4 linked regions of the Anolis sagrei genome follow. The protein of the gene in region 4 interacts with the protein of the main gene of each other region in a pairwise test. Links are inferred from orthologs where the notes say so. Each region holds a gene or a part of one and is shown on either strand. Other genes may lie near its edges.

Region 1 (7,943 bases), about 230 Mb from region 4:
GGTTGAGAACCACTGCTGTAGAACTTAGAAAACTATTATTTGATTTAAGTCGTTGGCGTGCTGGCTGATATCCGAACAGGGGATGAGCTGGAGATGTCTCTGCCTTGGTCCTTTCACTATTGGCTGCTACTTCCCGGCGGATGTCAGGTGGTGCAATACCGGCTAAGCAGTGTAATTTCTCCAGTGGTGTAGGGCGCAGACACCCCGTGATAATGCGGCATGTCTCATTAAGAACCACATCTACTGTTTTAGCGTGGTGAGATGTGTTCCACACTGGGCATGCGTACTCAGCAGCAGAGTAGCATAGTGCAAGGGCAGATGTCTTCACTGTGTCTGGTTGTGATCCCCAGGTTATGCTGTGAGCTTTCACATGATATTGTTTCCAACACCCACTTTTTGCTTGATATTCAGGCCGTGCTTTGTGTAGGTCAGAGAATGGTCCAGGGTAACTCCCAGGTATTTGGATGTGCTGCAATGCTCCAGTGGGATTCCTTCCCAGGTAATCCTCAGAGCTCTGTAAAAATGGGGAAAATGGTTTTCCTCTTTCAGCCAACCCTCCACCCCCATAAAATGGACTATTCTTCTCTCTTAGCGCCCACTTGTGGCCTCCCTCCCGATAATAATACAGTACGCATTTTACTTTTAATAAACCTCTCCCCAGCATCTCTCTTTCTCTTTGCCTTTTATTATTATTATTACATTTTACTGAACCAACCATTCTATTGCAGTTTATTAACCATGGCATTTTACTTAACAACCATATCGTTATTAACAACCTTATTATTAACCTTGGCATTTTATTTACCTTTTGTTGTTGTTGTGTTTTGCATTGGATGAACTTTTCCACTTGGTTTTTATTTTGTATATTACTAACCTTGGCATTTTATTTACCTTTTGTTCTTGTTGTTTTGTTTTACATTGGATGAACCTTTGCACTTTGTTTTTATTTTGCATATTATTAATCTTAGCATTTAATTACCATTTGTTGTTGTTGTGTTTTGCATTGGATGAACCTTTGCATTTTGTTTTATTGTGTATATTATTAACCTTGGCATTTTATTTACCTTTTGTTGTTGTGTTTTGCATTGGATGAACCTTTGTACTTTGTTTTTATTTTGCATATTATTAACCTTGGCATTTTATTTACCTTTTGTTGTTGTTGTTGTTGTTGTGTTTTGCATTGGATGAATCTTTGCACTTTTTATTTTGCATATTATTAACCTTGGCATTTTATTTACCCTTTGTTGTTGTTGTTGTTGTTTTTGTTGTTGTGTTTTGCATTGGATGAACCTTTGTACTTTGTTTTTATTTTGCATATTATTAACCTTGGCATTTTATTTACCTTTTGTTGTTGTTGTTGTTGTTGTGTTTTGCATTGGATGAATCTTTGCACTTTTTTATTTTGCATATTATTAACCTTGGCATTTTATTTACCCTTTGTTGTTGTTGTTGTTGTTGTTGTTGTGTTTTGCATTGGATGAACCTTTGTACTTTGTTTTTATTTTGCATATTATTAACCTTGGCATTTTATTTACCTTTTGTTGTTGTTGTTGTGTTTGGCATTGGATGAATCTTTGCACTTTTTTTATTTTGCATATTATTAACCTTGGCATTTTATTTACCCTTTGTTGTTGTTGTTGTTGTTGTTGTTGTTGTTGTGTTTTGCATTGGATGAACCTTTGTACTTTGTTTTTATTTTGCATATTATTAACCTTGGCATTTTATTTACCTTTTGTTGTTGTTGTTGTTGTGTTTTGCATTGGATGAATCTTTGCACTTTTTTATTTTGCATATTATTAACCTTGGCATTTTATTTACCCTTTGTTGTTGTTGTTGTTGTTGTTGTTGTTGTGTTTTGCATTGGATGAACCTTTGTACTTTGTTTTTATTTTGCATATTATTAACCTTGGCATTTTATTTACCCTTTGTTGTTGTTGTTGTTGTTGTTGTTGTTGTGTTTTGCATTGGATGAACCTTTGTACTTTGTTTTTATTTTGCATATTATTAACCTTGGCATTTTATTTACCTTTTGTTGTTGTTGTTGTTGTGTTTTGCATTGGATGAATCTTTGCACTTTTTTTATTTTGCATATTATTAACCTTGGCATTTTATTTACCCTTTGTTGTTGTTGTTGTTGTTGTTGTTGTTGTGTTTTGCATTGGATGAACCTTTGTACTTTGTTTTTATTTTGCATATTATTAACCTTGGCATTTTATTTACCCTTTGTTGTTGTTGCTGTTGTTGTTGTGTTTTGCATTGGATGAACCTTTGCACTTTGTTTTATTTTGTGTATTATTAACCTTGGCATTTTGTTTACCTTTTGCTGTTGTTGTGTTTTGCGTTGGATGAACCTTTGCACTTTGTTTTATTTTGCATATTATTAATCTTGGCATTTTATTTACCTTTTGTTGTTGTTGTGTTTTGGATTTCATGAACCTTTGCACTTTGTTTTTATTTTGTATTTTATTAACTTTGGCATTTTATTTACCTTTTGTTGTTGTGTTTTGCATTTGGTGAACCTTTGCACTTTGTTTTATTTTGCATACTATTAACCTTGGCATTTTATTTACCTTTTCATGAAATGCAAAACACAACAAAAGGTAAATAAAATGCCAAGGTTAATAGTATGCAAAATAAAACAAAGTGCAAAGGTTCATCAAATGCAAAACACAACAACAACAACAACAACAACAGGTAAATAATAACCTTGGTATTTGGATTTCATGAACCTTTGCACTTTGTTTTTATTTTGTATTTTATTAACCATGGCATTTTATTTAGTAAGCACTCCTTTTTTGCATTTTACTTAAAACCTATTATTGCATGTAATAGACCTTTGCATTTTGTTTTGCTTTTATTTTGCATTTTATTAACCATGGCATTTTATTTTGCAAGCACTCTTTTTTTTGCATTGCATTTTACTTAAAACCTATTTTTACATTTGATTGACCTTTTCATTTTGTTTTGCTTTGCTTTTATTTTGCATTTTATTAACCATAGCATTTTATTTAGTAAGCACTCCTTTTTTGCATTGCATTTTACTTAAAACCTATTTTTGCATGTGATGGACCTTTGCATTTTGTTTCCTTCCTCCTGCTGCTTTTATTTTGCATTTTATTAACCATGGCATTTTATTTAGTAAGCACTCTTATTTTTTGCATTGCATTTTACTTAAAACCTATTTTTACATTTGATTGACCTTTTCATTTTGTTTTGCTTTGCTTTTATTTTGCATTGTATTAACCACGGCATTTTATTTAGCAAGCACACTTTTTTTTTGCATTGCATTTTATTTAAAAACCTATTTTTGCATGTGATGAACCTTTGCATTTTGTTTTGTTTTGCTTTTATTTTGCATCTTATTAATCATAGCATTGCATTTTGCATTGCCTTTTACTTAAAACCTATTTTTGCATGTGATGGACCTTTGCATTTTGTTTTGTTTTGCTTTTATTTTGCATTTTATTAACCATAGCATTGTATTTTTCATTGCATTTTACTTAAAAACCTATTTTTGCATGTAATGGACCTTTGCATTTTGTTTTGTTTTGCTTTTATTTTGCGTTTTATTAACCATAGCATTGCATTTTGCATTGCCTTTTACTTAAAACCTATTTTTGCATGTGATGGACCTTTGCATTTTGTTTTGTTTTGCTTTTATTTTGCATTTTATTAACCATAGCATTGTATTTTTCATTGCATTTTACTTAAAAACCTATTTTTGCATGTAATGGACCTTTGCATTTTGTTTTGTTTTGCTTTTATTTTGCGTTTTATTAACCATAGCATTGCATTTTGCATTGCCTTTTACTTAAAACCTATTTTTGCATGTGATGGACCTTTGCATTTTGTTTTGTTTTGCTTTTATTTTGCATTTTATTAACCATAGCATTGTATTTTTCATTGCATTTTACTTAAAAACCTATTTTTGCATGTAATGGACCTTTGCATTTTGTTTTGTTTTGCTTTTATTTTGCGTTTTATTAACCATAGCATTGCATTTTGCATTGCCTTTTACTTAAAACCTATTTTTGCATGTGATGGACCTTTGCATTTTGTTTTGTTTTGCTTTTATTTTGCATTTTATTAACCATAGCATTGTATTTTTCATTGCATTTTACTTAAAAACCTATTTTTGCATGTAATGGACCTTTGCATTTTGTTTTGTTTTGCTTTTATTTTGCGTTTTATTAACCATAGCATTGCATTTTGCATTGCCTTTTACTTAAAACCTATTTTTGCATGTGATGGACCTTTGCATTTTGTTTTGTTTTGCTTTTATTTTGCATTTTATTAACCATAGCATTGTATTTTTCATTGCATTTTACTTAAAAACCTATTTTTGCATGTAATGGACCTTTGCATTTTGTTTTGTTTTGCTTTTATTTTGCGTTTTATTAACCATAGCATTGCATTTTGCATTGCCTTTTACTTAAAACCTATTTTTGCATGTGATGGACCTTTGCATTTTGTTTTGTTTTGCTTTTATTTTGCATTTTATTAACCATAGCATTGTATTTTTCATTGCATTTTACTTAAAAACCTATTTTTGCATGTAATGGACCTTTGCATTTTGTTTTGTTTTGCTTTTATTTTGCGTTTTATTAACCATAGCATTGCATTTTGCATTGCCTTTTACTTAAAACCTATTTTTGCATGTGATGGACCTTTGCATTTTGTTTTGCTTTGCTTTTATTTTGCATTATATTAATCATAGCCTTTTATTTTGCAACCCCCCCCCCTTTTTTTTTTGCATTGCATTTTACTTAAAAACCTATTTTTGCATTTGATGGACCTTTGCATTTTGTTTTGTTTTATGTGGATTTTGCATTTGCTTGACCAGTGAAATGCAATCCTCCCGGAACCAAAGTGCTGGGCTGTTTGTTTCCTTGCACAAGGGGGTGGGCCTCCCTGGGAAGCCCTATTTGCACGTGACTGTTTCCTCTCCCCTTCCTGGGCTACTTTCACTTTCAGGCACCATCGCAGCAGCTTGCATTGCAAGCAGCCCATCCTTCCCTCCTTTGCTGCTGTTGCATTCCTTCCTCCTGCTGCATTGTTTTCACCCTTTTGCACGCTTTGCCTGCTGACGCGTGTCTTATCCTTTCCCACGTGACGCGTGTCAGGCGGCTGGGGCGGCGGCAGCAGCGCGATGGCCGGCCTGGAGCTGCTCTTCTCCTCGGTGTCGCCGGACCTTTCCTGCCCGCAGGACGCCTTGGTCTGCTACTTGCACTGGAAGCTCATCAGCCATGGCTACCGCTGCCTGGGGACAGGAGACCAGGTGAGAATTTGGGGGGGGGGGGGGGGACACTCCAAATTCTCCTTGCAAAGCACCTCCAAAAAGTGGAGTGCACCCCACCCACGCCCAGAAGCAACCCAACAGAAGGAAAGCATGCATGTAAACAGAGCATCCCTTGACCAGAATGCTTAAGACAAAGAGTAGAGTGCCATGACTCACTGTTATGCATTGTTATGTTTGATTGTTTATGTTTTGCTTCATTGCAAAGTTGTTTTAATTGTTTACTAGCCATCCCCTGCCACACATTGCTGTGGCCCAGTCTGTGTATATGTGTTTTGCGTACATATATGTGTTTTGTGCATATATACAAATATATAATGTATTTTTTACTTTTTGGCTTTTTAAGTCCCTTCTGCTGTGTTTTTCAGTGTTTTTAATGAGTAATGGTCACTCATTGGCCTGAGAGGTGCCTTGTGTCCAAATTTGGTGTCAGTTTGCCCAGTGGTTTTTGAGTTAGGTGAGTCCCACAAACGAACACTACATTAGGTTCTTGTGGGTTTTTCCGGGCTATATGGCCATGTTCTAGAGGCATTTTCTCCTGACGTTTCGCCTGCATCTATGGCAAGCATCCTCAGAGGTAGTGAGGATGCTTGCCATAGATGCAGGCAAAACATCAGGAGAAAACGCCTCTGGAACATGGCCATATAGCCCGGAAAAACCTACAACAACCCAGTGATTCCAGCCATGAAAGCCTTCGACAGAACATTACATTTTTATTTTTATAGACTAGAAATCCCAAAAGTCAATGTCTGTTTCCCCCAAATTCCATCTGTGTTCATATTTGGGTATATGGAGTATTTCTGCCAAGTTTGGTCCAGATCCATCATTGTTTGAGTCCACAGTGCTCTCTGGATGTAGGTGAACTGCAACTCCCAAACTCAAGGTCAATGACCACCAAACCCTTTTAGTGTTTTCTGTTGGTCATGGGAGTTCTGTGTGCCAGGTTTGGCTCAATTCCATCATTGGTGGAGTTCAGAATACGCTTTGATTGTAGGTGAACTATAAATCACTGCAACAACAACTCCCAAATGTCAAGGTGTATTTTCCCCAAACTCCACCAGTGTTCACATTTGGGCATATTGAGTATTCGTGTAGAGTTTGGTCCAGATCTATCATTGTTTGAGTGCTCTCTGGATGTAGGTGAACTACAACTCCCAAACTCAAGGTCAATGCCCACCAAGCCTTTCTAGTGTTTTCTGTTGGTCATGGGAGCCCTGTGTTCCACGTTTGGTTCAATTCCATCTTTGGTGGGGTTCAGAATGCTCTTTGATTGAAGGTGAACTATAAATCCCAGCAACTATAACTCCCAAATGACAAAATCAATTTTTTTGAGTGATGGGCACTCGCTGACCTAGTAGGTGTATTGTGTCCAAATTTGGTGTCAGTTCGTCCATTGGTTTTTGAGTTATGTTAACCCCACAAATGAACATTACATTTTTATTTAGATAGATTTATTTATTGATATTTATGGTATCAGGAGCTAACCAATGTCTTTGAAAAAACACAAAGTTTAAAAAACTGGGCATCATACTGAATGGCCACTTGGAGTGCCTCTGGTGTCGCGTTGAGAAGGTCCTCCATTGTGCATGTGGCAGGGCTCAGGCTGCATTGTAATAGGTGGTCTGTGATTTGCTCTCCTCCACACTCGCATGTCGGAGACTCCACTTTGTGCCCCATTTCTTGATATTGGCTCTGCATCTCGTGGTGCCAGAGCGCAGTCTATTCAGCGCCTTCCAAGTCGCCCAGTCTTCTGTGTGCCCATTCAGCGCCTTCCAAGTCGCCTAGTTTTTGGTGTGCCCAGGGGAGAGTCTCTCATTTGGTATCAGCCATTCATTGAGGTTCTGGGTTTGAGCCTGCCACTTTTGGACTCTTGCTTGCTGAGGTGTTCCTGCAAGTGTCTCTCTAGATCTTAGAAAACTATTTATTGATTTAAGGTGTTGGCTGATATCCAAACAGACGATGGGGCTGAAGACGTCACTGCCTTGGCTTTCGTTATTGGCTGATACATCCCGGTGGATGTCAGGTGGTGCAATACTGGCTAAACATTGTAATTTCTCCAGTGGTGTGGGGTGCAGACACCCCATGATAATGTGGCTTGTCTCATTCAGAGCCACATGATGAGATGTGTTCCACTCTCGGAAGCAGAGTAGCAAAGCGCAAGGGCAGATGTCTTCACCGTGTCTGGTTGTGGTCCCCAGGTTGTGCCAGTCAGCTTTCATATTATATGTATGGTTGGGGACGTGAGAGAAGCCTCCCCACAGGGTTACAACACATTCAGGCATCCCCTGGACAACTGCTGACACTGGGCATGCGTACTTGACAGCAAAGTGCAAGGGCAGATGTCTTCACTGTGTCTAGTTGTGATCCCCAGGTTGTGCCAGCTTTCATATGATACGTATGGTTGGGGACGTGAGAGAAGCCTCCCCACAGGGTTACCACACATCCAGGCATCCCCTGAACAATGTCTTTGTAGATGGCTGATTCTCTCAGTTGCGATATGTATGGTGGATCTGTATTGTTTTGAAATGTTGTGATCCGCTTTGGTCCCACTTGACATGATGCAGCCCAGCAAAAGTGTCATATCTCTCTCTCTCTCATCGCCCAGCCAGGTGCCAACGAGCGGAAGTCGGAGATGTTGCCTCCCGGG
Region 2 (6,967 bases), on a different chromosome or scaffold from region 4:
CTATCACCAGTCTTAACTGGAAATGGAGATGGACAGTCGGATGGCAGCAAGTTAAGATGGTGGGATGGTCAATGCTAGTCCTTCCAGGAGTGGAGATGGAAGACGCGATGACAGTGGAGATGGAAGACGCGATGACAGGCGTCTCAGATGGTGAGATGGTGAGTCAGACCCCACTGGAGGAGGCCTGGGCTGCTGGCTACTCACAAGGAGTCCTGGGAGCAGGCTGGAGATCTTTATTGCCCCTTACAGCAGCACAGCAGACTCCCACAGCAGACTCCCACTCTTTCTCCCACTCTGGGCATTCTATAGATATACAAACTCCACTTGCCTAGTTTCCAACAAGCCTCACAATCTCTGAGGATGCCTGCCATAGATGTGGGTGAAATGTCAGGAGGGAATGCTTATGGAACATGGCCATACAGCCCTGAAAACTCACAGCAACCCAGAACTCTTGTCTGTTTGAGGCAAGTCTAAACATTGCAATTGATCACATTGATTTGCACTGAATAGCCTGACAGCTTCAAAGCCTGACTGCTTCCTGCCTGGGGGAATTTATTGATTTTTGAACATTTGTATCCAGTCCTTCTCACCCCCGAGGAGGGACTCAACAAGTACTCATTTGAGTGCTAACCACAATAATAAATTTCATTAAAATTTGTGTCCGCATCTCCTACAACAAACCTGCACAACCTCTTCAATCCTCTGAGGAGGCCTTTCTCTTGCCCTTTCCTCTATCACAAGCTCGACTTGTGGGAACGAGGGAGAGGGCCTTCTCTGCTGTGGCCCCCCACTTTTGGAACTCGCTACCTAGGGAGATTAGGCAAGCCCCCACCCTAGCTGCTTTTAAGAAAGATCTAAAAACCTGGTTCTTCCGATGTGCCTTTGGAGAGTGACCACTCAATCCCATCTGGTTATTTTGAACTGTAGCTGCCCTCAGAATAAAACACCTTCCCATGCCTCCTACAAAGGCCAAATCCCACTACTTCTCCCTGTTGGACTCCTCTCTTATCCCTTTTATCCCTATCTCACTCAGGGTTTTAACCTGTTCATATTTTACCTCATACATTTGGCCCTCCCTTTGTATCTGATTTTATTATGCTGTTTTATAATGTTGATTTTGTTATTTCATATTTTGTTGATGTATTTTTGTTATTGTGCAATCAATTATGTTGTATTATTTTGGGCTTGGCCTCATGTTAGCCGCCCTGAGTCCCCACTGGGGAAATGGTGGCGGGTTATCAATAAAGTTTATTATTATTTATTATTATTATTCAAACAATCATTAAAAATCATTTGTTGGGAAGTGATTAGCTGGCCCTGATGGTTTCTTGTCTGGAATTCCCCTGTATTTGAATGTGTCTCTTTATTTACTGTCCTGATTTGAATTTTTTTTAAAAAAAAAATACTGGTAGCCAGACAAGAAAAAATCAGGGCCAGCTGAGCAGCTAAGGGGAAAAGGAAAGGGCCCGAAGCTGGGTTGTTGTGTGTTTTTTGGGCTGTATGGCCATGTTCTAGAAGCATTCTCTCTTGACATTTCGCCTGCATCTATGGCAAACATCCTCAGAGGATGTGAGGTCTGTTGGAAACTAGGAAAATGGGGTTTATATATCTATGGAATGTCCAGAGTGGGAGAAAGAACTCTTGTCTGTTGGAGCTTGGTGTGAATGTTGCAATTGGCTACCTTGATTAGCATTGAATAGCCTTGCAGCTTCAAAACTTGGCTGCTTCCTGCCTGGGGGAAGAGAAGAGTTCATTATCCCACCCTGGACCTTCCACAGCCTGAAAAGGGATCTACCTGTGGGCGGCTCCTTCCCTCCCTGTCTTTGAGTGGCAGGTGGGCCACCGGGCTCTGTTTCCCCGGTGGCCCCTCAGAAAGCTAGAGAACAGGCAGGCATGTAGCGGGGGGGGGGGGGGGGCTTGAGGGGCTTCAGCCCCTCCTGAAATTTTCATGGTGGTTCGCGAAAAGGCCTTACTGGTGCATTATTTAAACTGTTATGTTTATTCATATCATGATCTGATCACCTTACTCAATATATCCCATATGCATGGGGGTATTGGGGTAATGATACAAAAGGTTTGCTAGGACAGACCCAGTTTCACTCAGACTCAGCCCCCCCCCCAAATCGAAATCCTGGCTACGGGCCTGAGAACAGGCATGGGCAAACTTGGGCCCTCCCTCTAGGTGTTTTGGACTTCAACTCCTACCATTCCTAACAGCCTCAGGCCCCTTCCTTTCCCCAATTTTCCTAGTTCCAACAGACCTCACAACCTTTGAGGATGCTTGCCATAGATGCAGGCGAAACATCAGGCGGGAATGCTTCTAGAACATGGCCATACAGCCCGAAAACCCTACAACAACCCAGTGTTTCCAGCCATGAAAGCCTTCGACAATGTATGGCCAGGTTCTTGTGGTTTTTTTCGGGCTATAGGGCCATATTCTAGAGGCATTTCTCCTGACGTTTCGCCTGCATCTATGGCAAGCATCCTCAGAGGTAGTGAGGTCTGTTGGAATTAGGACAGTGGGTTGATATATCTGTGGAATGGCTGGGGTGGGGCAAAGAGCTCTTCCCTGCTGGAGCTAGGTGTGAATATTTCAACTGACCACCTTCATTAGCATTTGAAGTCCTGGCTGAGCCGGGGAAAAGATGTGCCTGGTTGTTTCCTCTCTGTTGTTTTGCTGTCGTAATTTTAGAGGGTTTTTTAAAATACTGGTAGCCAGATTTTGTTCATTTTCATGGTCTCTTCCTTTCTGTTGAAATTGTCCACATGCTTGTGGATTTCAACGTATGGCCATGTTCTAGAAGCATTCTCTCCTGACGTTTCGCCTGCATCCGTGGCAAGCATCCTCAGAGATTGCGAGGCCTGAGGCTGTTAGGAATGGTGGGAGTTGAAGTCCAAAACACCTGGAGGGCCCATGTTAGCCTGGTGTAGAGAGATGCAAGAGTGGACCTGGATCCGGGGGAGCGGGGGATACAACAAAGGGAGGGGATCGTGGTGGAGGAGGAGGAGAAGGGGTGGGGAGGAGGGAGCGCAAGAAACTTCTCCTTCCCCCTCCCACGCGGGAAAGGGAGCCGGTGATGGAGCCGCGTGGCGGGTGCGCGAGCACGAGGGCAGGCACTCAGGGCTGGGGCATCAGCAGTAGCAGCAGCCCCTCCCCCTGCAGCATGCAAAGCGGAGAGAGGGCGATTGAGGAGGGCTCCCGAGGGGAGGGGAGGGGGCGGGGCAGCGGGTGGAGGGTGTCCGTGCCTCGATGCCTCCTCCTCCTCCTCCTCCTCCTCCTCCTCTTGCTGGATGCCTCCTGGCTGGCTCGACTGGCCTGCGCCGGGACCTGGCTGCTGTGGCGGCGATTGGCTGGCGGGGGCGGGCCAGGCGCGCGGCGATTGGGCGGCGCGGCCGAGCGGACGGCGGTGGGGAGGCCCCTGATTGGCTGCCGACGAGGAAGCAGGAAGGGAGGACGGACCAAGAGCCGAGCAGGGGCGCGGGGCCGCCGCTTCTGCTGCTGCTCCTGCTGCTGCTGCTACCGCCGCTTTCGGGGACTTGGTTGCTCCTCGTCATCGTCGGTGGGAGCTCATCGTGGGAGAGGAGAGCGCCATCCGGATCCGTCCTCCGGAGTCTAAGCCGTGTCTCTCCTCTGCTGCCGCCCCCTCCGGCCTTCGCCGCGCGGGCCCCAGAAGGGGGCGCGCCTCAGTCCCCATCCCGGTGGCGACGACGCGGAGGGAGGGCCGAGGAGAAGGAGGAGAAGGAGCAGCGGCGGCGCTGACGCAGCAGCGTGGATCCCGGGATTCAGGCGCCCCGCCGCGGCGTCCCTGCCGCCGGATTGCAGCCCGGCCGGGGCCTCCTGGCTCTGCCCTGCGTGGGGCCCGCACAGCCCCCTGGAAGGAGGAGCAGGAGGAGGAGGAGAGGAGCGGGAGCAGGCACCCTCGGTAAGCAGGCGGTGGGGCTCCACCCTGGGCGTCGAGGAAGTTGCGGGAAGGAATCAAGGAAGGCAAGCGATGGGAACAGGTGCCTTCGCCGCCACTAGCCAAGGAGGATGTATACGGGAGGGAGGGTGGGTGGGTGGGTGGGCTTGCATGCGGCGGGGAGGTTCACCCACCCAGCCAGCCAGCCAGGCACCCGCGCGGGGATGTCGCGCGTGAAGGAGCGGAGGGGGCGCGGCTCTCGCGGGACGCCTTTCCTTCCTTCCGAGCTCCCATCGGGTGGGTGGCCTCCTCGGGAACTTTCCACCTCGATCCGGCTGGGGCTGGTATTGGTATGGAAGAGCGAGGCGTGGGGGCTTCCTTCCTTCCTTGGCCGCGTGTCCCCGCCGAGGAAAGAGAAGGACCCTCCCCTCCCTCTCCTTCCCTCCCCTCCCTCTCCTTCCCGGTTGCCTTTCCCTTTCCCTGGCGTCGTCGGGGGTTTCCCCCTCGTCGTAGTCGGCCATGATCCCTCTCTTTCCTCCCTTCTGCCTTTCCTTCCATCCCTTTTTCTCTCCCCCCTTTTCCCTGGGCTGAAGAAGGGCCCTCGCGTGGGGCGGCGGCGTGGGCGGCTCCTTCCTTCCCTGTCTTTCCTTGGCAGGTGGGCCACCGGGCTCTGTCTCCCGTGGCCCCTTAGAAAGCCGGAGAATCAGGTATGGGCAAACTTGGGCCTCCCCTCTAGGTGTTTTGGACTTAAGCTTAAGCGGCGGAGGGGGAAAAGGAAGGGGCCTGAGGCTGTTAGGAATGGTGGGAGTTGAAGTCCAAAACACCTGCAGGGCCCAAGTTTCCTCCCTGAGACTGTCCATCTGGTGCAAAACAAGATACGGCCCACATTGCACATGGCTCCTGTTTTGAAGGGGAAGAGCCCAGTCCCCTTCCATGTCCAGGGCCCCTCGGCCTTCCTGGGATTAGTTCTCGGTCTGGAGTTATGTAACGACTAGGAAAACCATTAACTTTGGCAGCAGCAGCAGCTCCCAAACCCCACCTTAGAAACCCACTGGCAAAGTGTTGTGGAAGGCTTTCATGGCTGGGTTGCTGTGTGTTTTCCATGTTCCAGAAGCATTATCTCCTGATGTTTCGCCTGCATCTGTGGCAGGCATCTTCAGAGGTTGTGAGGTCTGTTGGAAACTAGGAAAATTGGGTTTTATATATCTGTGGAAAGTCCAGGGTGGGAGGAAGAACTCTGGCAAAAGCTCCAAGCAGAAGCCAGGAGCCCAAGAGAAGGGTGGTTTTGTGTTTCCCTTCCAGGCTGCTTCCTTCCTTCTCTTCCCTTCCTTTTCCTTCTTCCCGCCCTCCCTTCTTTCCTTCCTTTTTTCCATGTTTTCTTCCTTCTTTTTTCCACCCTTCCTTCCTTCTTTCCTTCCTTCCTGCCTTCCTTCTCTCTTTCTTTCATTCTTTCTTTCCATCTGTCCTTCTTTCCTTCCATCCTTTCATCTTGATTTCTTGCTTTCTTTCCTTTCTTCTTTCCTTCCATCTTCCCCATCCCTTCCTTCCTTCCTCCCTTCTTTCTTTCTTTCTTTCTTTCCTTCCTTCCTTCCTTCCTTCCTTCCTTCCTCCCTTCCTCCCATCTTTCCTTCCTTCTTTATTTCCTTCCTTCTTTCCTTCCATCCTTTCTTCTTGATTTTTTCTTTCCTTCCTTCCTTCCTTCTTTCCTTCCATCTTCCCCATCCCTCCCTCCCTCCCTTCTTTCCTTCCTCCCTCCTTTCCTTCTTTCCTCCCTCCCTTCTTTCTTTCTTTCTTTCTTTCTTTCCTTCTTTCCTTCCATCCTTCTTTCCTTCCTTCCTTCCTTCCTTCCTTCTTTCCTTCCTTCCATCCCTTCCTTCCTTCCTTCCTTCCTTCCTTCCTTCCTTCCTTCCTCCTTTCCTTCCTTCTTTGTTTCTTATCTACCTTCCTTCCTTCTTTCCTTCCAACCTTCCTCCATCCCTTCTTTCCTTCCTAAGACACCCCTTTCCCCTTTCTGGTCCCCTTCCCCACTTCGGAATACGCTGCCTCCTCATTTTTGTACAACCCAGACACGGAGACAGATGCCCAGGGCCCTCAAGGACAAAAGACCCCCTTCAGAAACACTTTCCGATCTCCTGGTTAGTAGTCTCTTGGAAGCAAGGAAGGGGTTGTAAACAGTCCCTAGAAAAAGGAGGGTCTGAGCCTGGAAAACTTTTTCAAAAACACAATTCCTCATAGAGGTTATTCCTCTTTCCTGTGTTTTCTTGGAAAAGACCTGCTGGGAAACGAATCCTGGTGGATTGTCTGTAGAGAGAACAAGGCTTCCGGGCATGTTAATGGCTCAATATAATTGTTGACATGACAGAAAGCCACAGAATCATGCTCGTATTTAGAAATCGTTATGAAGATTCACATAGATAGGTATGAGCAAACTTGGGCCCTCCCTCTGGGTGTTTTGAACTTCAACTCCCATCATTCCTAACAGCCTTAGGTGTCTTCCTTTCCCCCCTCCGCCGCTTAAGCGGTGGAGGGGGGAAAGGAAGACACCTGAGGCTGTTAGGAATGGTGGGAGTTGAAGTCCAAAACACCCGGAGGGAGGGCCCAAGTTTGCTCTCTGAGACTGTCCAGCTGGTGCAGAAGATATCGGCCCTGTTGCATATGGCTACTGTTTTGAAGGGGAAGAGTCCAGTCCCCTCCACCAGTCCCCTCCACATCCAGGGCAAGTTTCATGAGAGGGTGCTTTGAATGAAAATCGACCTTGCTAGAAGCGCTTCCCCCCAAAATATCCTTTCCATCTGGGTAATAGAGGTGAGACTTCAAACACACAGGCAGCACATTTCAGAATGTGTTGAGGACTCGCCATGTAATTTGGCCGGAACGTATCTCTTTCCAGGTGACAAACCTGCATCCAGTGGGAGGGTTGAAATACGGCTGACAGCTGTATTCAACAAGGTGATGCGCTGTCATTTTCAAAACCAGGTGTCAAATTACACGTCTTGTCTTTTCACACGTGCTCGCCGAGCTCAGGAAGCCACGCACGTGAAACTTATTTGGGGAGGTTGTGTTCATTC
Region 3 (7,550 bases), on a different chromosome or scaffold from region 4:
TTTGCCACTTTTGTTTGGAAACCGCCCTAAGTCCCCTAGGGGAGATAGGCTGGGTTATAAATAAAGTTATTATTATTATTATTATTATTATTATTTTCTGGAAATTGTGGGTTTTTAAAAAGATTTATGTATTTATTCATATAGACATACATGCGTATTTGTTGCATACAGTGCAATATTTTCCAGCTATTAGTGTTCCATAATAATTTCTCAAATAATATATTTTATTTAAGGAGTCACAGTCTTCTATTTAAATAGTACATATAAAGGTATCATAGACTCTAAATTAATATCCGCTTCCTCCTTGTCTGCAGTCTTATAGGATCCCCATGTACATTTTTAGTTTAATTTTACATTGAGATGTTGAATCATTGGCTGCCATTCATTAACAAAGTTCTCTAATAGTGCTTCTCTTAAGAATACAGTTATTTTATCCATTATCCATGTATTTTCCCCATTCTTGTGAGGTATCTCTGACATTTTTCAATATCCAGCATATACTATTCGAGCTGCCGCTGTCATGTAAAACAATTTTTTCCTGAATTTCCTTTCTAGTTCTTCATTAGGCATGTTCAAAAGGTACATTTGTGGGGTCATTTTGACCCAAATAACTGGATTGACTTATCTACATGTTAGTGCAAGTACTGTCACTTATATAAAGAAGGAACCATCCCATTTTCTGAATAGAGTGGCAAAAGGCATAAGCTTAGTCCATCTTCAGAAAATCTAAAAGAAACACTAAAAGAAAATCTAAAAGAAATCACCACTACTTTCTCCACCTTAATCCCACTTCTGGTCTTTTTGAATGCCTGGGTGGAAAAACGGCAGAAGCCAAGGATGGAGAGCCTGAGCTGCTGCTGCTGCTGGCACTTTCTCCTCTCCGCTTGACTTATCCTCAGCTCGGATCATATGTGAATCTATCGTTTGGCCCCCAAAACCTGCTCTTTGCTAGGTCAACTTATACAAGAGTGATTGTTGACTGTCATATGTGGGTATATTTTGGTTAGAACTAAGAACTGGATCCAGGCTTCATTCAGAAATTTAGTTAATCAATTTTTAACTGGATTTCACTACTAAAACCCCACATCTTTGACCTTGGAGGGTCCTGCCCATACACTCCACCCTTGGGAGTTCCCTTCAGCTCTTCTTAGTTAAAACTAGTTCACATGCCTGAGTCTCTGAGGTCCCTTCCACACAGATGTATAAAATCCACATTGAACTGGATTATATGGCAGTGTGCACTCAGATAATCCAGTCCAAAGCAAATATTATGGATTATCTGCCATGATATTCTGGATTATATGTCTGTATAGAAGGGCCCTGACTCTTTGGAGTCTACAAAGTTGATTTCTCACAGGAAATATGGGACTGAGCTTGGAAAATTTGCATTTTTGGATTATACTTTGGATGTCCCAGTAAGCATGGGAAATATGGGACTGAGCTTGGAAAATTTACATTTTTGGATTATACTTTGGATGTCCCAGTAAGCATGGCCCATAAGTATGCAAGATGAGAGACACTGAGGGCTCTTCCACTGGGTTATCTGAGCCCACAATCAGATAATGTGGGATTTTCTGCCTTGATATTCTGGGATATAGGGCTGTCTGGAAAAGCCCCTAGAATATCAAGACAGAAAATCCCACATTATCTGAATGTGGATTCAGATAACCCAGTTCAAAGCGGATATTATGCGATTTTCTTCCTTGATATTCTGGGATATAGGGCTGTGTGGAAGGGGCCTAAGACAGGTTTGTCCAAATCGCAACCCGTGAGCCACATGTGTCCCAGGACGGCGGTGAATGTTGCCAAACGCAAAATCGTAGACTTACTTAAAACTTGAGATTTCTTTTGCATTTTTTGTAACTTAATTATATAGTTCTCGAGCATGAACTTGTACATAACAACAAAGTGGAATGAAATATTCAGAATATGTTAGGTCCACAAATATCTGGGTATTATCTGCAATTATCTGTGATGAGGGATATGACAGAAATTATGCACTGACTTCTTTTGTTTTATTCATCAGCTATCGTTAATGTTAATGTATTTTATGTGTGGCCCATGACAATTCTTCTTCTTCCAGTATGGCCCAGGGAAGTCAAAAGACTGGATATACCCCTGCTCTAAGTGATACAGTCCAAACAAGGAAAATTATCAAACTCCAGTAAAGGGGTATTTCTGAAGTAAAGCATATTTGTGTGACCTTTCATATATTCCCAGTAGTACATTATAACAGCACCTCAAGTAAAATTAAGGCCATTCCTGAGGATTATTCAGAAAATCAGCATGTTTTAATAAAACCTCTTCTGATATAGCAAACATATATGCATAAAGAAAGCTGGTGAGTTCCAAGCCTCAATGATTCAGCAAAGAGATGGGTGCATTATTATTATTATTATTATTATTATTATTAATAATGTTTTACAAGGTGATATCTCATGACATTGTTGGAGAACTTACTTTGTAAAACTTCCATCCCCTTTTGTGCTTGCTAATGACTAGCTACTCTTTTCAAGTGACTTTTTCTGTAATGTCTATCATGTCTCCAGGTTCATGTACTGCTTTTACCGAACTTAACTGCTCCTCGATGGGATCACCTACTGTGTCGAGAAAGAGTGGATAGCATTGTAATATGTGTGGCTTGCACTCCCTGTGGAGCTGAAATAGCACCAGAGATGAAGCTGAGTACAGTAGAAGATAAGAGGCATACTTACAGCAGGCAGAGGGCATATGCTGAAGAGATGGACTCACTGGCCCGCACAAGGAAGCTCCCATCCTTTCCCACTTTAGAGAGGAGGTCTTCAGCTCTTGAACGTGTGATGGTCCCATGGTACCAGCACTGATCCATGCCTCATAGGCAAAACACTCTGCCTCCCCAATGCAAGCAACTTTTAATTTATGATAACAATAATCAGCCAGCCAGCAATTATGTTGAGATCTCAGAGCTGTCTGTGTGTAGTGTTCAGCAGCTGCCGCTCACTCAGCTTCCTGTTTTAATGGTGCAGAGAGGAGAGAGAGAGAGAGGAAACAGAGCTGAGAACTTCCTTATAGAAGCAACTCCAAATGAGAAAGACATGCCACGCTCACACTTCACCTCCAAATTCGCTCTTTCTGGATAGTTGCAGTGTCCACATTAATTGTGTTTGTACAAATTCAATGGATAGAGTTCATAGCCAGTGGACTGTCCCCAAATTAATCTGCCCCTAGGCAAATACAGAGTTCTTTATCTCCTTCCCCAGTCCTACACTTTCTCTCTCTGCCTTTCTCTGTTTTATCCAAGACTTGGTTGTTAAAGCCTGAGGGTAGGACACAGTCAGATAAATATTTATGAGCTGCGCTGTGAGCCTTTTTGGCTGAAGAGAATGGTATAAGTGCTCTAAACAAACAAACAAATGAATACTTTAGTGCAGCATTGTACTAAATAATGGATACTGTATAACATTGTTAAAGTTGTGGGAGAGCTGCTCGCATTTATATGTACTTACAGGGAAATTGTGGCTAATAATATTTTGCTTCTGCCCAAATACATTATAATTGGGTCTTGACATATAGGTCAAGTTTAAACTTTGATAGAAGTTCCACATTGTTTTGCTTCCATGATAGTTATGAATTAATTCAGCGAGGGGTGTAAAATCAATAGTCACAAGTGGGAGATAAAGGTGGAATAGGCAAGGTTAAGAACACTAAGAAAATAATATTTGATATGTATTTTGAAATGGTGATGGATTGTGATATTATTCTACCTGTGTCTGCAATAAAAACATATTGGGGGGAAAAGCAATTAATTCAGGTAGTAAGTAATTTGATATATGTATCAGAGGCAAATGTGATGGGGAAAAAAGGAAAGTGAAAGATAGGAGTGGAGGTATTCAATTAGTCTCGTGTTGCCCAGCCATGCCCTTGGACCTCCATTTGTGATCTTTTATTGCATTTACACAGTGGCGGGTGACTACAATGCACTTCACATTTTGCAGAGGTTATTTTGGCCGGAATCTGGAATACATGGGGATCAGCTGCAGCACATTTTTTGGCTGACCTCAGGCTTTCCTGGGACATTCAAAGAAGTGCTGCATGATCCTTGATGTGCATTACAGTGTGCATTGGCGGTGTGCATTTTGTGGCCACCATGGCCTCAAGTCAGCTTCAAACTGCATTATAGTGTCAGTGCAGTGTGCTCTCAGACTGAGTGCTTGAAAGCTTTAATCTTGATCTGAATTCACCATCTAGCTAACACTTTCCCTCCAGCCTTCTTTCTTCAAGGAGGCTGGGGAAAACAGCGGCAGTACCTTTATCCCAGTAGCTCCTGCTTCAAAATGGAGGGTGGCCAAAAAACATCCCCTGAAAATGTGGGAGCAATTGCTACAAAGGACAAAAAATGCGAGATTTTCAGTTGCGGGAATATCCCAGTTCTGGCTGGAAAATGCAGATATTTGAATACAGGATTTTTTTTCTGTTGCTTTGTTCCTGGGTTATACATGTCGGTTTCTGACTGGTTGTATCTTAAAACATGGCAACAGTTGACTAGAAGGTGAAAACGTTATCCTAGAAAGAGAAACTTTGTCTTCCACACGTTTAATTAAGTTTGTGAAACACAAACAAAGGTTTTCCCGTGCATTTGCAATCAACTTTTCTCGTGTTTTTATGATAAAAGCAATGAGGAACAGACATGTATAACCCAGGAACATGACCCTGTTCTTCCATGCCACAAGTACACCACAAAACCTGTCTGCACAGATGGCCAGGCAGCCTCTGAAAAGTGGTAATAATGACTAAGTTCTGTTCCTGGCTTGAAAGTGTGTGTTCCTGTTTGATTGTATAGTACTTCCTTCAAAAGTAATGATCCTACTCCATAAACTTTGTTTGTGTGCCAGAAACTTCATTAAACATGTGGTTGGCAAAGTATTTCTTGTCAAAACAAAGTTGTCACCCTGTAGTCAATATTGTACATCTTTTCACAATAACAGCAATGAGGAACAGACATGTATGTCCCAAGAACAGCACCCTGTAGTTTCCAGGCACAAGTACACGGCCAAACTTGTCTGCACAGATGGCTACACAGCCTCTATAAGCCAGGAATGGAACTTATACAATGATTCGCATATTCACAAATTTGCATATTCACATCTTAGGGGCTGCAAAATCCCAGAACAAAGCAGCAAGTGTGGATGACGGAAACAGAAATCCCAGGACCAACAGGTCTGTATGTAGACCACTTCTCATGTCCTGGGGTTTTTTGCCTTGACTAAAACCCGCAATTTGGTGCTGTCTGGAAGCACCCTGAGTTGTATACTGAAATGTCAGGTTTGTAGCTTGAACAAGGTGGAACAAATTATATCATGGGCTTCGGCTGTTGACCTCTATCTATATTGTGGAATATGATGGCGTTGGGTCCTTCCACACAGCCAAACAGCCTGCTATTTCTAAAACTACTGTTCCATCAGTGGTTGCACTTATACCTGGCAGATCCCTGGGGTGATAAAGAGCAAATGTACAGTATCTTCTAGCACATTGGTGGGAGAGAGACCCACCAAATGATGTTGGACTATATCTTTACTATGTCAGAATATTATCCAGCTGATAGGGGATGATCGTTGTTTGAGTAAAACAGCATCTGGAGAGCCAAAAATTCCCCATATTAATTTTAGGATTTTTTCTCTTTGCACAGGTCCCTGTTCCCAACTATATCTATAAGGCTGTGGCCAAGACCAGATGCTTGAGAGATGTGGTATTATAATGTGCAGTCTCCAAGTTCCTATACTATTTTTGGTGAGCAGGTCGACAGGTCATTATAATTTGCATAACTGTAAAATCTGTGGTTTCCTGTGTGCCATGGATAGGAACTGTACAAAAGCTTGTGTCCCAAGTGTTTCAAACTGTGGTTCTGCAGCACAGAGCTACAATAAGCTGTAGCAAAACTGTTGTGCAGATATGCAGTGACAATGGAAAGTGGCCTCAAAATTATCTTGCATAGTGATAGTGGCCATGATCAGTGATGTAAGTGATAACAAATGGTCGTAATGAAAGGGCAGTGATGAACTAACAAGTCTATTTTTGTGAAAGTCATTTGCTGGCTACGTTTATTTCAATTCAGTGATGTAAAAGAGATGCTTCAAACTCATTCTATGATATATAGCTCTCGTTCAGTCAGGTTATGGTGTCTTTAAAGGGGTGCTACTGCTGTGCATTTTAAAATATTATGCATTTTTAAATGTATTCAAGTCAGTCCAAGCTATTCCAACAGCCGTTCTTTCAACACCGGAAAGTCTAGTCTATCCAGTACACAATATTGGCATGCACACAAATAGTTCACCCTTTGGCAATTGAGAATGGACTAACTCCGCCTGTTTTCCAGAACACCATGTAACAAAATTTGAAAAAATTTCTGTTCCTGGTTTGAAAGTATTATTTCCCGTTTAATTGTGCGCTGCTTATTTTGAAAGTAGCTGTTCAACTCCAGAAATTTCATTTTTGTGGCTGCCACAAACTATGTTGAATTGGTTGAGACTCAAGGAGATATTTATTGAAAACCTATAGCAAATTGTACTGCAGGATATCCACCCCCCCAAAAAAACGAACATTTTTGTAGTTTAATTAACTGTTCCCGTGTTTTTATGATAAAACCAATTAGAAAATGACATTTATAACCTAGGAACAAAAATGGTGTTACACAGTGTAATGTTTTCAAGCACGTGCTCATGTCATTCAAGTTACATACCAGAACTGTGTGCATGTAAAAGTTAGCTCATAAATGCACACACGTATGTGGAAAATTTTGTACCTATGACTATTTCAATGCATTTTATGCATATCTCCTATTAATTTTCATTCTTTTTTTGCAGTTTTCTCCTAGCCTAATTTTGTATATTATTTCTCCCAGGATTTTGTGTGGAATTGAAAAAAAATTGTATACATTACCTTGTATGCTTCCTCTTGGGATCTGCAAGCAAATTTCTCTGATTTTCACAATTGTGTTTGCTAGTTATTTCTATTTATGTAAGCATTGTGCAAGCATTGCTTTGAACATGGAACTGCATCACAACTTTTGAAGAAATGTGAAAACTGAACAGTCATTGTGTGCTATTTCATGGATTATTTCAAGAAATGCAAATTAGGCCACTTCATGCTAGAATGTGAATCAGACACATTTTTTCTCCATTTCTCCTCCCTTAATGGTCCTACGAATAAATGGTGAATGTCTTTTTATGGCCTATGGCACTTTTGACATGTTTTCAGATGTAAAAATCCCTTCCATTCTATTTCCTCATGAATCTGCAGCGCTGTTTAAAAATCTCCCAAATGCGAACTATTTAAATACATAACTAAATAGAATTTAATTAGGTATGCAAAGGCTACTTCCCTTTAAAAATACGCATTTTGTACTTGGTTAATAGCTGACTCTGTTCCACCTGACAACTTAGTGCCTGGGGTGTCCTCACTGGAGGAACTGTGGCTGACAGCTGGTTGTCAACTTTAGTACAGCTGGCAGTGATGGAAACTAACCATCTCCACTTGCTGCTTCACAAATGGCAGAATGAAACAGAGCAGATGGT
Region 4 (7,619 bases):
TTACCTTGCTTTACCTAACCTATGGTTATGCGCCACTTTGTTGTCTCCTTTTATGCTGACCCTAACAGATGGCTGAATAGAACGGAACGTTGCCTTTTTCTTAAGATCTAAAGAAACCTAATATTAAATATGAATTGTTTAATACCACTTTGTTTACACACCCTTTGTTTTATACCACTTTGCTTTACATACCCTACTGTTTTTGTATTGTTTTCTCTGCCTGTCTTTCTTTTTTATGCTGGCCTATAACCTTTACACAGTGTTTTTCAACATGGGGTTTGGGACCCCTGGAAGGGGGGAGGGGTGCGAGGGAATGTCAGAGGGGTTGCCAAAGACCATCAGAAAACAGTATTTTCTATTGGTCATGGGGGTTCTGTGTGGGAAGTTTGACCCAATTCTATCGTTGGTGGGGTTCAGAATGCTCTTTGATTGTGTCCAGAACTGTTTTCCCCAAACACCACCTGTGTTCACCAGTGAGATATTGACAAGCTGGAATGTGTCCAGAGGAGGGTGACTAAAATGATCAAGGGTCTGTAAAACAAGCCCTATGAGGAGCAGCTTAAGGAGCTGGGCATGTTTAGCCTGAAGAAGAGAAGGCTGAGGAGATATGATAGCCATGTATAAATACGTGAGAGGAAGCCACAGGGAGGAGGGAGCAAGCTTGTTTTCTGCTTCCCTGGAGACTAGGACGCAGAACAATGGCTTCAAATTACAAGAAAGGAGATTCTATCCGAACATGAGGAAGAACTTCCTGACTGTGAGAGCCATTCAGCAGTGGAACTCTCTGCATCGAAGTGCGGTGGAGGCTCCTCTTTGGAAGCTTTTAAACAGAGGCTGGATGGCCATCTGTCAGGGGTGATTTGAATGCAATATTCCTGATTTTTGGCAGGGGGTTGTACTGAGGTCTCTTCCAACTCTTTGATTCTAAGCCGCCCTGAGTCTCCCCTCGGGGGTTGAGAAGGGCAGGGTAAAAGTGAAATAAATAAATAAATTCTATGTTTCACATTTGGACATACTGAGTATTGTAAGTTAACTATAAATCCAAGAAACTCCCAAATGTCAAGGTCTATTTCCCCGAAACTCCACCAGTTTTCACATTTGGACATGTTGAGTATTCATGCCAGGTTTGGTCCAGATCAAACATTGTTTGAGTCCATAGTGCTCTCTGGATGTTGGTGAACTACAACTCCCAAACTGAAGGTCATTGCCCACCAAACCTTTCCAGTATTTCCTGTTAATCATGGGAGTTCTGTGTGCCAAGTATAGGTGAACTACAACTCCCAAACTCAAGGCCAATGCCCACTAAACCCTTCCAATATTTCCTGTTAGTCATGGGAGTTCTGTGTGGCAAGTACAGAAGAACTACAACTCCCAAACTCAAGGCCAATGCCCACCAAACCCTTCCAGTATTTCCTGTTAGTCATGGGAGTTCTGTGTGCCAAGTATAGGTGAACTACAACTCCCAAACTCAAGGCCAATGCCCACCAAACCCTTCCAGTATTTCCTGTTAGTCATGGGAGTTCTGTGTGTCAAGTATAGGTGAACTACAACTCTCAAACTCAAGGCCAATGCCCACCAAACCTTTCCAGTATTTCCTGTTAGTCATGGGAGTTCTGTGTGCCAAGTATAGGTGAACTACAACTCTCAAACTCAAGGCCAATGCCCACCAAACCTTCCCCGTATTTCCTGTTAGTCATGGGAGTTCTGTGTGGCAAGTTTGCTTCAATTCCAACCTTGGTGGAGTTCACAATGCTCTTTCATTGTAGGTGAACTATAAATCCTAGCAACTACTACTCTGAAATGAAAAGAATGAATCCCACCCCACCTCACCTCATCAGTATTCAAATGTGGGCATATTGGAGATTTGTGCCAAATTGGATCCAGTGAATGAAAATATATTTGATTATCTGATATTTACATTATCATAGTCATAGAACCAAGGAGTTGGAAGAGACCTCCTGGGCCATCCAGTCCAACCCCCTGCCAAGAAGCAGGAATCTTGCATTCAAATCACCATCCAGCCTCTGCTTAAAAGCTTCCAAAGAAGGAGCCTCCACCACACTCCGGGGCAGAGAGTTCCACTGTTGAACGGCTCAGTCAGGAAAGTCTTCCTTATGTTCAGATGGAATCTCCTTTCTTGTAGTTTGAAGCCACTGGGTCCTAGTCTCCAGGGAAGCAGAAAACAAGCTTGCTCCCTCCTCCTCCCTGTGGCTTCCTCTCACATATTTATACATGGCTATCATATCTCCTCTCAGCCTTCTCTTCTTCAGGCTAAACATGCCCAGCTCCTTAAGCCGCTCCTCATAGGGCTTGTTCTCCAGACCCTTGATCATTTTAGTCACCCTCCTCTGGACACATTCCAGCTTGTCAACATCTCTCTTGAATTGGGGGCCCCACAATTGGACACAATATTTCAGGTGTGGTCTAACCACAGCTCCATAACAGTAGCAAAATTACAGTTATGAAGTAGCAACGAAAATAATTTTATGGTTGGCGGTCCCCACAACATAAGGAATTGTATTAGGAAGGTTGAGAAACATTGTCCTAATAATTGACTGAATTGGGACTGAAATTTGCTTCCTTTGCTTGAGACCTACCCACTTCTAATCAACACAGGGATCCAGGAAACAAAACACAGAACCCAAAGAGGCAGAGGCAGCAGATATAGCAAGACAAAGGCGTCCCCCTCCAGGGGCTGAAACCCACCTTGGTTGACCAGCCTCAAGGCGTGGGTGAAGGAAGGGTCCAGGGAGTCCTTCTCGGCCAGCAGCTCTGGCAGGTACTTCTCTTCCTCCATGGCCTGCCCTCCGGCCTGGAAGCCTCGCACCCTCGGGTATTCGTTAATCCTCGTTGGGAGAGTGGAAATTAAAATTTCAGAGCCAAAAGGAGGAGCATAAAACCCGGGAAAACCCCTCACAAACAGTCACAAACACGCCCAAACTCTCAACAAGCAGAGAAAAAAAGGAGCACAACCTCTCTCTTCGCTTCCCCAGCCGCGACTGAGGCTGGCCACGCCGCCGCGCCTCGCTTTATATAGACTGCCGCCCTCCAGGCCACGCCCATCCTTAGAGGAACGCTCCTCCCCCTTTTTTTCCCCTCTCCGACCGTTCCAAAGAACAGGCCCCGCCCACCTTTGTGAACTATTGGGCAAAGGGAGGGAGCGCGAGGAAGTGTTTGCTCTCACCTGATTGGCTGGTCCTCGGGGCGAAGACAAAGGGAGCGGCGCGAGCGCCGGCCGTTATTTAGTACACACACAGCCTGCGCGAGACTGTCGTAGTGCGCACGCGCGCCCCCAACTGGCTTAGGCTATGCTGCTCAAGGCAGAGTGTTTATTTATCGTGCAGACCAAACAGTTGCATTGCATTTTTTTAACAAAACAAACAAACAGAACACAAAGTTTGCAAGCTTGGTAGTGGATTAAATGTCCTTTGACCAGTAGCTGGCCACTTGGAGTGCCTCTGGTGTTGCTGCAAGGAGGTCCTCCATTGTGCATGTGGCAGGGCTCAGCTTGCATTGCAGCAGGTGGTCTGTGACATTGCATTTTTTTTACAAACAAACAAAACACAAAGTTTGCAAGTTTGGTAATTGATTAAATGTCCTTTGACCAGTGTCTGGCCACTTGGAGTGCTTCTGGTGTTGCTGCAAGGAGGTCCTCCATTGTGCATGTGGCAGGGCTCAGCTTGCATTGCAGCAGGTGGTCTGTGACATTGCATTTTTTAACAAACAAACAGAACACAAAGTTTGCAAGTTTGGTAATTGATTAAATGTCCTTTGACCAGTGTCTGGCCACTTGGAGTGCTTCTGGTGTTGCTGCAAGGAGGTCCTCCATTGTGCATGTGGCAGGGCTCAGGTTGCATTGCAGCAGGTAGTCTGTGATATTGCATTTTTTAACAAACAAACAGAACACAAAGTTTGCAAGTTTGGTAATTGATTAAATGTCCTTTGACCAGTGTCTGGCCACTTGGAGTGCTTCTGGTGTTGCTGCAAGGAGGTCCTCCATTGTGCATGTGGCAGGGCTCAGCTTGCATTGCAGCAGGTGGTCTGTGACATTGCATTTTTTAACAAACAAACAGAACACAAAGTTTACAAGTTTGGTAATTGATTAAATGTCCTTTGACCAGTGTCTGGCCACTTGGAGTGCCTCTGATGTTGCTGCAAGGAGGTCCTCCATTGTGCATGTGGCAGGGCTCAGCTTGCATTGCAGCAGCTGGTCTGTGACATTGCATTTTTTTACAAACAAACAAAACACAAAGTTTGCAAGCTTCGTAGTTGATTCAATGTCCTTTGACCAGTATCTGGCCACTCGGAGTGCCTCTGGTGTTGCCGCAAGAAGGTCCTCCATTGTGCATGTGGCAGGGCTCAGGTTGCATTGCAGCAGGTGGTCAGTGGTTTGCTCTTCTCCACACTCACATGTCGAGGATTCCACTTTGTAGCCCCATTTCTTGAGGTTGGCTCTGCATCTCGTGGTGTCTGTTCAGCGCCTTCAAGTCGCCCAGTCTTCTGTGTGCCCAGGGGAGTCTCTCTCGTTTGGTATCAGCCATTGATTGAGGTTCTGGGTTTGAGCCTGCCACGTTTGGACTCTCGCTTGCTGAGGTGTTCCAGCGAGTGTCTTTGTAGATCCTAGAAAACTATGTATTGATTTAAGTCGTTAATGCCCAAACAAGGGATGGGCTGGAGATGTCTCTGCCTTGGTCCTTTCACTATTGGCTGATACCTCCCAGCGGATGTCAGGTGGTGCAATACCAGCTAAACAGTGTAATTTCTCCAGTGGTGTAGGGCGCAGACACCCTGTGATAATGCAGCATGTCTCATTAAGAGCTACATCCACTGTTTTAGTGTGGTGAGATGTGTTCCACACTGGGCATGCATACTCAGCAGCAGAGTAGCACAGCGCAAGGGCGGATGTCTTCACTGTGTCTGGTTGTGATCCCCAGGTTGTGCCAGTCAGCTTTCGTATGATAATTTTTCTAGCGCCACTTTTTGCTTGATGTTCAAGCAGTGCTTCTTGTAGGTCAGAGCACGGTCCAGAGTGACTCCCAGGTATATGGGTGTGTTGCAATGCTCCAGTGGGATTCCTTCCCAGGTCATCCTCAGAGCTTGGAATGCTTGTCTGTTCTTAAGGTGAAAAGCACATGTCTGTGTTTTAGATGGGTTGGGGGTCAGCTGGTTTTCCCTGTAATAGGCAGTAAGAGTGCCTAGCGCTTCAGAGAGCTTCTGTTCTACCATCTCAAAGTTCCCTGCTTGAGCGGTATGGCACAATCATCAGCATAGATGAAACTCTCTGTCACTTCTGTCAGTGGCTGGTCATCAAGGCAGAGTAAAGCCTCACACTTGAAACTCCTTTGTCCTGTCAGATTGTAAATTGGACTTGTTATGGCTGTGTAGAAGAAGGAAGTTCATCAGGTGTTGCTTCTTGTTAGACAACAATTAAAGGCACAACTCCAGATATTTTTTGTAATGAAAACAGTTCTTTAAAACCAGATTTCATAGAATCTGGATATCACAACAATGGGATGTTCAACTTTTTGGCTTCCTTGGACGACATGGGGAGAAGTACAATTCTGTAAAACCAGATTGCATAGAATCTGGATATCACAACACTGGGATGTTCTACTCTTTGGCTTCCTTGGACCACATGGAGAGAAGAAGAATTGCCAGCTGGGTGGCCATAGCTTAAAGATTATCCATTTTGTTGAATCTGGGATTGTACCTTGGATTGTTTTGGATTCTGGCTTTAACTTTTGACTGCTTTTTTGGACTGTTGGCTTTGTTGACCTTGGGCTAGACTTCTGCTTGGTGTTTATTGCTGACTGGACTCTGGAACTTTTTTGGTGTGACCACAGCAACATGGACTCTGAAGTTGTGCTTTATCTCGCTCTCAACAGCTTGTGTGTGTGTGTCTAAATCCATATCCATAAATATAATGTTCGTTTGTGGGAGAAACACTGAAACCACTGGTGAAATTGACACAAAATTTTGACACAATACACCTAACAGTACAACGAGTGTCCATCACCCCTAAAAACACACACACACAAGAAAAAAGCACCCAACTTAAAACCCCCAAAAATACACCATATATACATATATACTCATATACATATGAGTATATATATGCACAAGCACACACAAATATACACATATACACACATATATACATATACACATGCACATCGATACATATGCACATACTTACACACATATATACACACAAATATGCATATAGGCAAGCACACACATGTACACAATATGCATATACAGATGCAAACACACAAATACACAAATATATACACATTTACACATATATATATACATATACACATGCACACACCTACATACATACATATATACACACAAATATGCATATAGACAAGCACACATATATACACAATATGCCAATATGAATATACACATATAAACATATGAATGCATAAATATACACACACACATATATACGCAAACACACATATGTGCATAAATTTATACACACACATAAACACTTATGTACACGCACAAAACACATATACACAGACTGGGCCACAGCAACACATGTCAGGGGACGGCTTGTATATGTGTGTGTGTGTGTGTGTGTGTGTGTGTGTGTGTATATATATATATATATATATATATATATATATATATATATAAAGCATGGGCAAACTTCGGACCTCCAGGTGTTTGGACTTCAACTTCCGCATTTCCTAACAGCCAGAAGGAAAACACACAACAACCCCATTAGTAGGCTATTAGGAATTGTGGGAGTTGAAGTCCAAAACACCTGGAGGGCCAAAGTTTGCACAAGCCTGATATATATGCTAAAACTGTCAAATTATAGGTAGCCCCTGAGTTACAAACATCCAACTTACAAATGACTCATAGTTCAGAACAGAGGTGAAACACATGAAGTGAGGGAAACCTGGTTCTTGAGACAAAATGAAATACAAGCATTTTTTAAGTTACATTGTCTGCTTTGAAATGAGTTATCTGAGTCCACACTGCCATATAGCCCTGTTCAAAGCAGATAATGTAGGATTTTATACAGCTGTGCGGAAGGGGCCTGGGATTTTTTTTCTCTTCTTGTTTTTCAGAATCGAGAAATAGCCATATACAGGCAGTACCCGATTCCAAACATCCGACTTACAAACGACTCATAAGGCCCTTCCACACAGCCCTATAGCCCAGAATAATGGCGCTCCATGCAGCCGGCCACGTGACCTTGTATAGTGAGGGCCCTCTGCATTCAAAATTAAATGAAAGATAGAAGCTTGACCTGCTAGAAAAGCCCTTTGATGACAATTTGGATTGGCATGGGATACTAGGTGCCGCAGAACAGAGCTTTCCAAACATTTCATGTTTGCAACACACTTTTCAGATATGCATCATATAACAGAATAAACTGGAAGCTAAACTAATTCCTTATAAAAGATACAGACACATATATACATAATCTACTAGCTGTACCCTGCCACGCGTTACTGTGGCCTATAGTAAATCTTTTCAAAGTAGAGGTAGATATCTGGAGTATTATGAAATACTATTCCTTCCCCCTTTTTCTCCCCCTTTCTCTCCTTTCTTCCTTCTCTACCTCTTTCTTTCTTTCCTTCTTTCGCTCCTTGGTT

The links.
Region 1: the proteins of KHDRBS3 (region 4) and PSMF1 interact in a two-hybrid assay, tested with the Homo sapiens proteins (2 studies listed by BioGRID and IntAct). The link is inferred for Anolis sagrei from reciprocal best matches to the Homo sapiens genes KHDRBS3 and PSMF1.
Region 2: the proteins of KHDRBS3 (region 4) and BAHD1 interact in binary tests that used the Homo sapiens proteins (3 or more experiments, as listed by UniProt). The two-hybrid records come from large-scale screens. The link is inferred for Anolis sagrei from reciprocal best matches to the Homo sapiens genes KHDRBS3 and BAHD1.
Region 3: the proteins of KHDRBS3 (region 4) and INPP5D interact in binary tests that used the Homo sapiens proteins (3 or more experiments, as listed by UniProt). The two-hybrid records come from large-scale screens. The link is inferred for Anolis sagrei from reciprocal best matches to the Homo sapiens genes KHDRBS3 and INPP5D.

The regions. Positions count from the first base shown.
Region 1 is NC_090024.1:241,203,609-241,211,551, forward strand, and holds the start of PSMF1 (proteasome inhibitor PI31 subunit), read left to right. Parts: upstream 1-4,932; 5' UTR 4,933-5,149; coding exon 5,150-5,278; intron 5,279-7,901; coding exon 7,902-7,943. UniProt on the Homo sapiens protein: Plays an important role in control of proteasome function. Inhibits the hydrolysis of protein and peptide substrates by the 20S proteasome. Also inhibits the activation of the proteasome by the proteasome regulatory proteins PA700 and PA28.
Region 2 is NC_090021.1:289,983,394-289,990,360, reverse strand, and holds the start of BAHD1 (bromo adjacent homology domain-containing 1 protein), read left to right. Parts: upstream 1-3,953; 5' UTR 3,954-3,992; coding exon 3,993-4,002; intron 4,003-6,967.
Region 3 is NC_090023.1:221,345,578-221,353,127, forward strand, and holds the start of INPP5D (phosphatidylinositol 3,4,5-trisphosphate 5-phosphatase 1), read right to left. Parts: upstream 3,021-7,550; 5' UTR 2,849-3,020; coding exon 2,715-2,848; intron 1-2,714. UniProt on the Homo sapiens protein: Phosphatidylinositol (PtdIns) phosphatase that specifically hydrolyzes the 5-phosphate of phosphatidylinositol-3,4,5-trisphosphate (PtdIns(3,4,5)P3) to produce PtdIns(3,4)P2, thereby negatively regulating the PI3K (phosphoinositide 3-kinase) pathways.
Region 4 is NC_090024.1:14,032,287-14,039,905, forward strand, and holds the start of KHDRBS3 (KH domain-containing, RNA-binding, signal transduction-associated protein 3), read right to left. Parts: upstream 3,020-7,619; 5' UTR 2,798-3,019; coding exon 2,707-2,797; intron 1-2,706. UniProt on the Homo sapiens protein: RNA-binding protein that plays a role in the regulation of alternative splicing and influences mRNA splice site selection and exon inclusion. Binds preferentially to the 5'-[AU]UAAA-3' motif in vitro.